Linked DNA regions of Yarrowia lipolytica. Each later gene encodes a partner of the first gene's protein in a complex. Links are inferred from orthologs where the notes say so. Each region holds a gene or a part of one and is shown on either strand. Other genes may lie near its edges. The genes, in order: YALI1_C30399g and YALI1_C31989g.

Evidence for each region.
Region 2: YALI1_C30399g (region 1) and YALI1_C31989g share a complex: the UniProt entries of both Saccharomyces cerevisiae proteins name them as parts of the nuclear pore complex. The link is inferred for Yarrowia lipolytica from reciprocal best matches to the Saccharomyces cerevisiae genes NIC96 and NUP49.

What each region holds. Positions count from the first base shown.
Region 1 is NC_090772.1:3,038,134-3,043,474, forward strand, and holds YALI1_C30399g (uncharacterized protein), read left to right. Parts: upstream 1-1,864; coding exon 1,865-4,573; downstream 4,574-5,341. Other genes in the region: YALI1_C30392g (uncharacterized protein), read right to left, coding at 1-1,144; YALI1_C30440g (uncharacterized protein), read right to left, coding at 4,726-5,341. UniProt on the Saccharomyces cerevisiae protein: Functions as a component of the nuclear pore complex (NPC).
Region 2 is NC_090772.1:3,196,789-3,200,936, reverse strand, and holds YALI1_C31989g (uncharacterized protein), read right to left. Parts: upstream 2,037-4,148; coding exon 516-2,036; downstream 1-515. Other genes in the region: YALI1_C31971g (uncharacterized protein), read left to right, coding at 3,465-3,547, 3,826-4,148. UniProt on the Saccharomyces cerevisiae protein: Functions as a component of the nuclear pore complex (NPC).

The DNA.
Region 1 (5,341 bases):
CGGTATCTTTTTTCAGCCTGCTCGACTGCTCTCTGTCCCATCTCATCTTGTTGTATCTCCTTATGCTGAGTAGGAACTCAGAATGCAGCACCTGGCCCATCTGGAGCTGATTTGCCACAAAATGCTGAACTGTTGGGCTAACTTCTGTTGTCGCCCTAGGAAACATGACCAGGAATTGGTCCACGGGTCTGGGTGAGGGCGTAGAAGCCACGTCCAGCAGTCCAGGACCTATGAGAGTCATGCGATCATGAGCCACATCTCGCTGAAGTGGATTCAGCTTCTTCCACCACGTTTCCCAGTCACTTCTGGGGTTTCCTTGGGCTCTAAACAAGGCATACAGTTTGTCCTGAAGTCCCGGGTCTCCTTTAGTTCTGTTCTCCAACCACATGTTCTGGTATCTGAACAGTCCAACATTGTCTCCTACCGGCAGCCATCCACAAGCCGTAAAAAAGATGAGTGCGAGGTTGATGAATACATTCGGCAGAAAAGGAGGGGTTTGCTGCTCGAAAACAACATCAAAGTCATAAACCTCCACGCCATCTCTTTTCAGTTGAAAGTATGCCGACCTTGCGTTTCGCCAGAGGTACGTTCGGATAGCGAAATAGGTCTCCAGCACCTCTATATCGTCCGTCGCTTGTTCTTGAAACATCGGTGTCTTTTCTAGGTAGCCCATTTGAAGGTATTCCAGAGCGGTAGTCTCGTCATGTTCGGCCAAGAACTCTTGCACATTCTTCTCGTCGTGATCAAACATGCTGAAATACGCCACAGTAATATCGTAGGCATCCTTGAACTTGGTGGAGGGGTTGTGGTAACCGCCGGCAAACCTCAGCAGGCGTTCCTTCGTGACAGGAGCTCCCACATAACCCACAAACAGAGAATAGACAAGATCATAGATAGAGGTGATGAGCCCCATACGCATGATATCTCGCAGACACTTTTCAACCACAACTCTCATACACCAGGCCCAGTCTGCATGTGTCCACCGCGGTACAAACGTGGTCACCAGTTCCTCGTACACGTCGACAATGATGTATCTGAGCAATTTGACCCTTTTTCTCGTGTCATTGTCGGTTTCCTGATCTGCGTGGCCATTCAGAATGGCTCTCAGAGTGCCCAGATCCGGCCTGTGTATCGTCGGTCGCATGTGTAGGTGGGTTGTGGAGCCGGGAGAGGGGGGGGGAAGTGTATCGGGAGATGAGTTTGAGACTTTGAAGCTTAGATTTCGGAATCAGATGATATTTTTACAAAGAGGAACATCGAGGGGCAAAATGTTTTTGTGCAAGACAATTGGTTTTTGTGAGAGGGGTCTTCTGACTGTGGACAGTCTCAAGACTACAGTATTGTCAAAATGTTTCATTATAGGGTTTCGAGATTTTTTGTGTTGAAAAACTCAAACGGAAAAAGGGGACGATAATGTCCGGCACGAATGTGCTGATTTTCGGTGCGATATATGAGGAGAAAGACGGCGATTGAAATAGGAGGAGCATATATTGTTAGTAATCTGTTTAACTAATCGCGTAGGATCAATATTGGTGGAGTTAGATGGATCATAATGGAACTGACGATGGGGACGTTTTTGTTGGGAAAATAGAAAAAAAGGTTAAGTAAAGCTAACTAATAGGTCCAGTAGCATACCAACAGTGTAGATAGCTTTGTTGACATTGTTGAGTTTATCTAACTATCAATTGTTGATGTACAAGGATGTCTGGAAACGGCTGAAAGCGTAACAGCGTAATGAAATTGCAACTCGGTGTCTCCATCTATATAATTGCTTCTTCTAACTATGTTCCAGACGAGTATCCTATATATCCTGTTCCCCTCAACACGGTCATAATCTGTCACTTATCCTCAAACTCTAAAATAAATGTTTATTTGGTACCACAACACACATTTCGCTACACGCCTACCATCACACATCACAACCATGGCTGAGACGTTGACGCCCTCGGTGGCGCTTTTCAACGAGTTGATTGCGTCGAGCAAGAATCTGCCCCACGCCGCCTCGCACCTGGGCTCAATTCAGCTCGATCTGAGCGAGATCGGCAAGCGAGCAAACTCGTTGCGAGACAAACACTCGGAGGGAAACGACACAAAGGCACACTACCTGCTGGCGGGCAGCGGAATCAACGCGGAGGACATTTATCTGCAGTTGTCGTCGCTGACGCTCAATCCCGGGATCGAGTACTACGACAAGAATGTTGCGGGCATCGACTCGTATCTGCAGAACAAGAAGCAGGACAGCATTCTGGCGGCCATTGCAGACTCTGTACGACTGTCAGCGTCAGATTTTGACCAGTTTCTCAACCAGAACGTGTCCCTCGACTGGGCCAAGCGCAAGGAGCAGATCTGCCAGCACTTTGGCCTGATCCAGAAGGACGACGACAAGAACAACCTCAACAACAACACAACCACCAACACAAACAACAAGCTGACAAAGACAGTCCTGGGGGGCACCTGGGGCGCCGCGAGTCTCGGAAAACTCATCTTGGGCACTCCTGAGATTGGCACTGCTACTCCACGACAACGGCAATTCGCAAAGGCCATTTCGGCGCTCAACAATGCCCGATCAAAGGGCCAGGCCTTCCCCGTGTCCGCAGCTCTTTCCACTGCAGCCGATAACCTCTCTGACGCCAAAAGTCAGCAGCTCAACGATGCATGGGATATTCTGTCGTACATCTCTGGAGAGTCGGTCGAGGCTCCTGCCAAAGAAGGAATCTACAGAAAGATGTACGCTGCTCCTCCCGGCAGCCCCGACGGACTCAAGGTGCGAAAACAGATCTCCCATGGTTCTAAAATGTATCTTGAGCATCAGTTTTACGCCTGTGTCGAGGCCGAGATTGCTAAGTCTCCCCAGGACGCTCTTTTGGGAGGCGTGCCATCAGTCTACAACAAAATCAAAGCTTACTTGAACGTGCGGTACTTCCGAGGAGGCCAATGGACCAAGGAGAACATGGAAATTCTGAACGGAGTGCCCGTTTGGGCTGTTCTTTACTATATGGTTCGATCTGGACATCTTCAGGAGGCTCTCGACTTTACTCTTGAGATTGAGTCGTCGCTCGAGAAGATTGAACGTTCATTCCCCGTCTATCTCCAGGCATATGTCAAGTCTAAGGATCACGTGCTGTCACGTGACATGCATGATCGGATCCTCACCGAGTTTAACCAGCACATTCGGTTCCTCGATGCTCATTCCGATCCTTTCAAGTTTGCTCTGTACAAGATCATTGGCCGATGCGACTTGTCTCGAAAGGTCTTCCCCGAGGTTCTTGAGACTGCTGAGGACTGGCTGTGGGCCCATCTTGTTGTTTCTCGAGAGACTGTGGACGGCCCTCTTCAGGATCGATACACTCTGTTGGACGTGCAGCGAACCGTGCTCAACTTTGGATCCAAGCATTTCAACCCCTCTGGTAAATCTCCCGGTCTCTATTTCCAAATGCTCCTTCTATGTGGTCTTTTTGAGGCTGCTGTCAGTTATGCTCTTACCTTCTGTCCCGTTGATGCTGTTCATTATGCCATTGCTTTGGCTTACTATGGGCTGTTGCGTGTCTCCAAGCCCGAAGATACCGAGGACTCCGATGGCTCATATCTTTCTGTGGACAAGAAGGACCAACAGGTTCTTCATTTTGCTCGTCTGATTGGACACTACACCCGGGACTTCCGACGATCAGATGCTGTTGATGCTGTTGACTACCTTGTTCTGCTGTGTTTCTACCGAGATCAAGAGGACGCTTGTCACGAGGCCCTGCGAGAGCTTGTGCTCGAGACTCGGCAGTTCTCTGTTCTTCTGGGTGACATTAGAGCCGATGGAGCTCGGTCTCCCGGTTGCATTGAGCGTCGGTCCAAGCTCATTGGTCTGGACAAGGACGACTTCCTCACTCAGATCACTGCCCAGGCTGCTCTGCGTGCTGAGGACGACGGTCGGTTCGCTGACGCGATTCTCCTTTATCAGCTGTCTGAGCAGTACGACACTGTCGTGTCTATCATGAACCGAACTCTTGGTGACGCACTGAGCATGATGGACTTTGGAGACTCGAACGTGGAGCCTGCCCAGTCGCTTTCTCTGCTGTCCACCGCGACCAACCCCGCTCAGTTGGCCGCCACCATGCGAGAACTATACACTAACAACCCCCAGATGTACTCGCATGTGTCGCAGCGGAACCGAGATACCTGCGAGATTCTTCTGCAGATTGTGTCTGCTCGGGAGTCGTACTCGCGTGGCCACTGGGCCCATTGCATTGCTGTGATTGACAATATCAATGTGATCCCCATCCACGTTACCGCCGACGTAGGCACCATTCGTCGACGTGCTCAGGACTTTGTGTCTCTCCACGAGTCCACTGCTCGAAATGTGCCCTCGTTGCTGCTCATGACTATGACGTGTTGTGCTGAGTTGGCCCAGAACATCCAGGAGTCCGAGTTCAACGATGCTACTCGGTGCGACCGGCTGGCCGAGCTCAAGGCCCGGTCTCGAAACTGTATGATTTACGCCGGCATGATCCAGTACCGAATGCCTCGAGAGGTTTATTCGCAGCTCACTGCTCTGGACACCAATCTCAACAGTGTTAACATGTAGGGAGAAGAAGACGATATAGATAATTGATTGTATGAATAGCTATTAAAAGTTACGTAGATTGTGACTATTTTTGCGGATAATTTGAGCAAGACAGACCTCTTGAGGCTAGCAATAGAAATGCACGTGATACAGAGTCAATAGTGTGTATTAGATTATTTGGAAGCCTCAAGAGCCTGCTTGAGATCGCCGATGAGGTCATTGGCGTCCTCAACACCAACAGAGACCCGCAGGTAAGCAGGGTTAGTGGTAGCGTCACTCATGAGTCGCCATTCAATCAGCGATTCGACTCCTCCAAGAGAAGTGGCGTGGTTGAAGAACTTGAGCTTGCTGGGCAGAGCTCGGGCGGCTTCTCGAGACTGCATTTCCAGCACGAAAACAGGTCCGTAGCCTCCCACAAGCTGCTTCTTGACAAAGTCCTCGGTCTGAAAGGACGAGTGGTGGACACACTTGAGCGCGGGGAAGTCAGAGAGGTGGTCGGAGAAGTACTTGGTGATGGCGGTGGCGTTATCCGACTGCTGTTTGATTCGCAGCCTGTAAGTTCGAAGAGATCGGAGCAGTAGCCACGATTCGAGGTTTCCGGGACCTGATCCGAGGAAAGATCGGTCACCAACCAGCTGATCGGCTTCCTCGTGCGTCTTGACGACAAGAATTCCAGCCAGCAGATCAGAGTGGCCTCCAAAGTACTTGGTGGCTGAGTGCATGACAATGTCGGCTCCAAAATCAAAGGGGTCCTGCAGGGGGGGAGGAGCAAAGGTAGCATCAACAGAC
Region 2 (4,148 bases), about 160 kb from region 1:
CTCGAAACTTTATTATAGTGACGTGACTAAGCTGCAGAAAGAGAATTAGTTGGGAGTTAGTTAGGGAAAAGTTGACTGAGGGCGCAAATAGTGTCCCAGATACGGTAGAAATATGAAACGTACGCCAAAAAATTTATGAAAGTGATCTGGTTGTTATTACTTATCTAACAAGTTACCGGAGTTCTCAGATATAAAGAAATATAATGCTATTCTTGCTTACTTTGAGTTTGTCACTTTACTTAACGTTAGTTAGAACAGTTGAGCAATATGTTACATGCGGCAGCTACAGCTTTACAGTATGTACAGGGGTGTTCTCGAATCAATACTTCCATAAAGTCGCTTGACCATACCAAAAGCCTCTCGCCTTAAGGGGTGATACTTTGCTTGTCTTCATCTGCTTGTAGCCTTATTATTGTCTACAACGTTTATACTTGTAGTAAATACTCGTTACACCAAATCAACTACAATTACAAGTATTCCTTCAATATACATATCATGTAGCTACACCTCCAAAGTTACTTCCGCTGCTCAAGCCGCTCGACAACATGATGCAACTCGGCCACCCGGTTTCCAAGACCCATGAACAGCTTGTATAGCTCCTCCAGCGAAATGGTAAAGTTGTCAATGACCACAGAAGGGTTCTGAGGTCCGCTTTGTTCCAGTCCCACAACACCAGCCTCCACCTCGGCCGTCACCTTTGCCAGCTCCTCAATTCGCTTCTCGTACTCCTCACACTTTGTCTTAAAGTAGTTGAGCAGAGGATCGCCGTTCTCTCTGGGAGCTCCAGCGGGTCGGTTGGAGTTGAGACGGCCAGGAGTCTGACTGGTCAGGTAGCTGAGCAGGTTGAAACACGTCTGCGCCTCTTGTGCGGCAATGTCTGATCGAGTCTTGATCTCGTTCATGTTTTCGGAGTCGTGCACCAGAGCCTCGTAAGCAGTGATGTACTTTCTGGAGATGAGCTCAGCATCTCGGGGGATCGACTCGATCATCTCCTGATGCTGCAGCTTGTTCGTGGACAGCTCATCGCATATTCGGGCCTGCTGCTGAATGTATTCGTCGATCTGTTCAAACTCCTTCTGCATATGTTCCGGTAGATCCGACGGTCTGGTCAGAGGAGTGACGGTCAATTGCTGCTGTTGTTGCTGTTGTTGCTGCTGCTGTTGCTGTTGCTGACCAAATCCAAGTCCTCCAGTATTTGTGTTTGTGTTTGTGTTCTGTCCAAATCCTCCTCCAAAGCCGGTACCGGTAGTAGCAGGCTTAGCACCGAAAAGACCACCTCCTGAAGTAGTAGTGGTGGCGGGTTTTGCACCAAACAGTCCGCCGCCCGTGTTAGTAGAAGCGGCGTTGTTGTTCTGGCCGAAAAGTCCACCGGTGGTGCCTGTGGTTCCGGTGTTGGCAGTATTGGATGTGTTCTGTCCAAACAGCCCCCCACCTGAGGGGGCAGCAGGCTTAGCTCCAAAGAGACCGCCTCCGGTTGTGCTTGTGTTCGAAGTGGTGTTGTTGTTGTTCTGGCCGAAAGAGAAACCTCCAGATGTGCCTGTAGTACCAGTAGTACCGGCAGTGTTTGTGTTCTGACCAAACAGCCCTCCTCCAGTGGTGGCAGCAGGCTTGGCTCCAAAAAGTCCTCCTCCGGTGTTTCCGGTGTTAGAGGCTCCAGCATTGTTGTTTTGGCCAAACGAAAAGCCTCCTCCAGTGTTACCGCCCGTGTTGCTGGTCTGATTGGTGTTGTTCTGGCCAAACCCGAATCCTCCGCCAGTGTTGGTGTTAGTGGAGTTGGAATTGTTATTCTGGCCGAACGAAAACCCGCCACCAGTGTTACCGGTCGTGCCGGTATTGGCGGCGCCAAAGCCTCCGGGCTTCTGTCCGAATCCAGTGCTGCCGAACATGATGTATCTGTGTGGTGATGGCGTCTCTAAAAGTTTGGTTTGTTTTGCTGCATGCTGTTGATAATTTTGCTTATTAAGCCAACAAGGCTGAGGATGTAAGCGGATGGATGGTGTAAACACTACAACAGAGCAGCAGGTAACGGAGGCCATAGATTACTTAGATGAGTACTGCTTTAAAAAAAATCAATACTGCCTCCTTTCTATCATCAATTACATATTTCGATTAAACGCCTTATCTTGAAATTCATGAAGTCGTGGAGTCGAACTCAGGGTCAGTCTTGTCAATCTCTCTGAAATTTCAAATTTGAAGCTTGGTTGGGAGGGAGCACCAGGAAAGACTACAGTACAGTGTTCATCCTACAGTATTTTTTTTCCCGTATCCTTCTTCGTTATTCTGGCGGTAATCGACGTGTGAAATACCCGGCGTTTAGGTTGCTCTAGAACATTCCATTGTGATTCACTGTTTTGATGGAAAATGGGGAGCTATTCTGTCACCAGCTTCACTCCCAATTGCCGTGAGTTCTCTCTGGTTGCTGCATTTTCTGTATGATTGTCCGTATGTGAGTCGAACCAAGATCGATAAACTTTCGCGTGATAATACGGCGGAAAGCATGACATCTATCCAACTCTCGTAATAATAGCCCTATAAGCGTGATTTTTCCATAATTTTGTTTGCTGAAACTAACTAAATACACTGATACTCTACTTTTTTCTATGAACCATCTCAGTCCCATACTTTGTGGAAATACAGTAGGTACTACAGTGAACATTCGGCACAGTACGGAAACTCTTTCCCTCCACTGTCAGACCTGCATCTTCCAGGAAACCTCATCGAAATTCAAAAAAGGGGCAACGCGATCGAAAAAAGACAAAATAGTGGCAAATGTCGTCTGAAATAGATGTGTGCTTTCGTTCTGTGGGTGGTACAGGGCGTGTCACCTTCTCCTAGCCATTTCTACTTACAGTACTGTACGTACTCTGACTTCTCAGTCAAGTTAGTTAATGCAGTGTCTACATTACATTTTGTCAAATTCCACAGCTAAACTCCACAGCTAATCCTCGTAACGTTCTGACTAACAATAACTGCATCGTACAATGTATCTACAATACATACATACGAGATGAACCCTTTCATGCAACCTTGTGTACGGCTATTTTTCGCCCGAAATAACTCAGTTCCAGGTTAGGCAAGTCCCTGTAAAGATTCATATCCTCCGTATGGGTAGGGCACGTTTCTGAAGCAGCCTACAAACCATATAGATACAGTATGTTGCAGTTGTGCTGTAGGACACGTGACAGGCATCCATCACTGCCGGGTAAGGTAGTATCGAGCCATCCACGGCGTTCCATATGGTTCCAATAAGCCGGGAGTCGTTCATCTGATGCACTTCATCTCATCCGGCTATCGGAATAAGTCATACCTGCGCTTCCAAAGGCTTCCTTTCTCTCTGTCTACCGCCACCAATAGTCGCCACTATGCGCATTCTATCGTCGTTTGGTTTCCCTTAAAGTTAAGTGTCTTGTCCCTACATCCCACCACATCACAAGATTTGATTTTCAACAGCAGATACACCATCAATGGGTATTCCTAAATTTTTCCGCTACATCAGTGAGCGATGGCCGCTGATTTCCCAACAAGTGATTGATACACAGATTCCTGAGTGAGTATGAGAGCAGTGAGGGTGTTTTTGGAGATGGCAACACGACCGTTTGGTGATTGTGGGGTGTCTGATCGGTCAGCATACTGATGACCAAAACCACGACACTAGACGACCTGAAGGAACGTATAACAAGAGCCTTGTGACTGGAGGATCGTTTGAAAGCCCTTGTCGAATGTTCTATGTTGTTTCGATACATGATTCAGGCCAGATCAAACCCACAATAACACACAAAACTGTTACCACCACAGCCACATCACAACATTTCCGTGCTAACCCAGATATGACAATCTGTACCTCGATATGAACTCGATTCTGCACGTGTGCACACACAAGGACGCAGATGTGACGTTCCAGCTGACGGAAGAACAAATGTTCCGCGCCATCTTCGAGTACATTGAGCATCTATTTTCCAAAATTCGGCCCAAGAAACTCTTCTTTATGGCCATTGACGGAGTCGCACCGAGAGCCAAGATGAACCAGCAGCGATCGCGACGATTCCGAACTGCCCTCGACGCCGAAAAGGCCAAGGCCAAGGCTCTGGAGGAGGGCACCATCCTGAAGGAGGACCAATTCGACTCCAACGCTATTACTCCCGGAACCG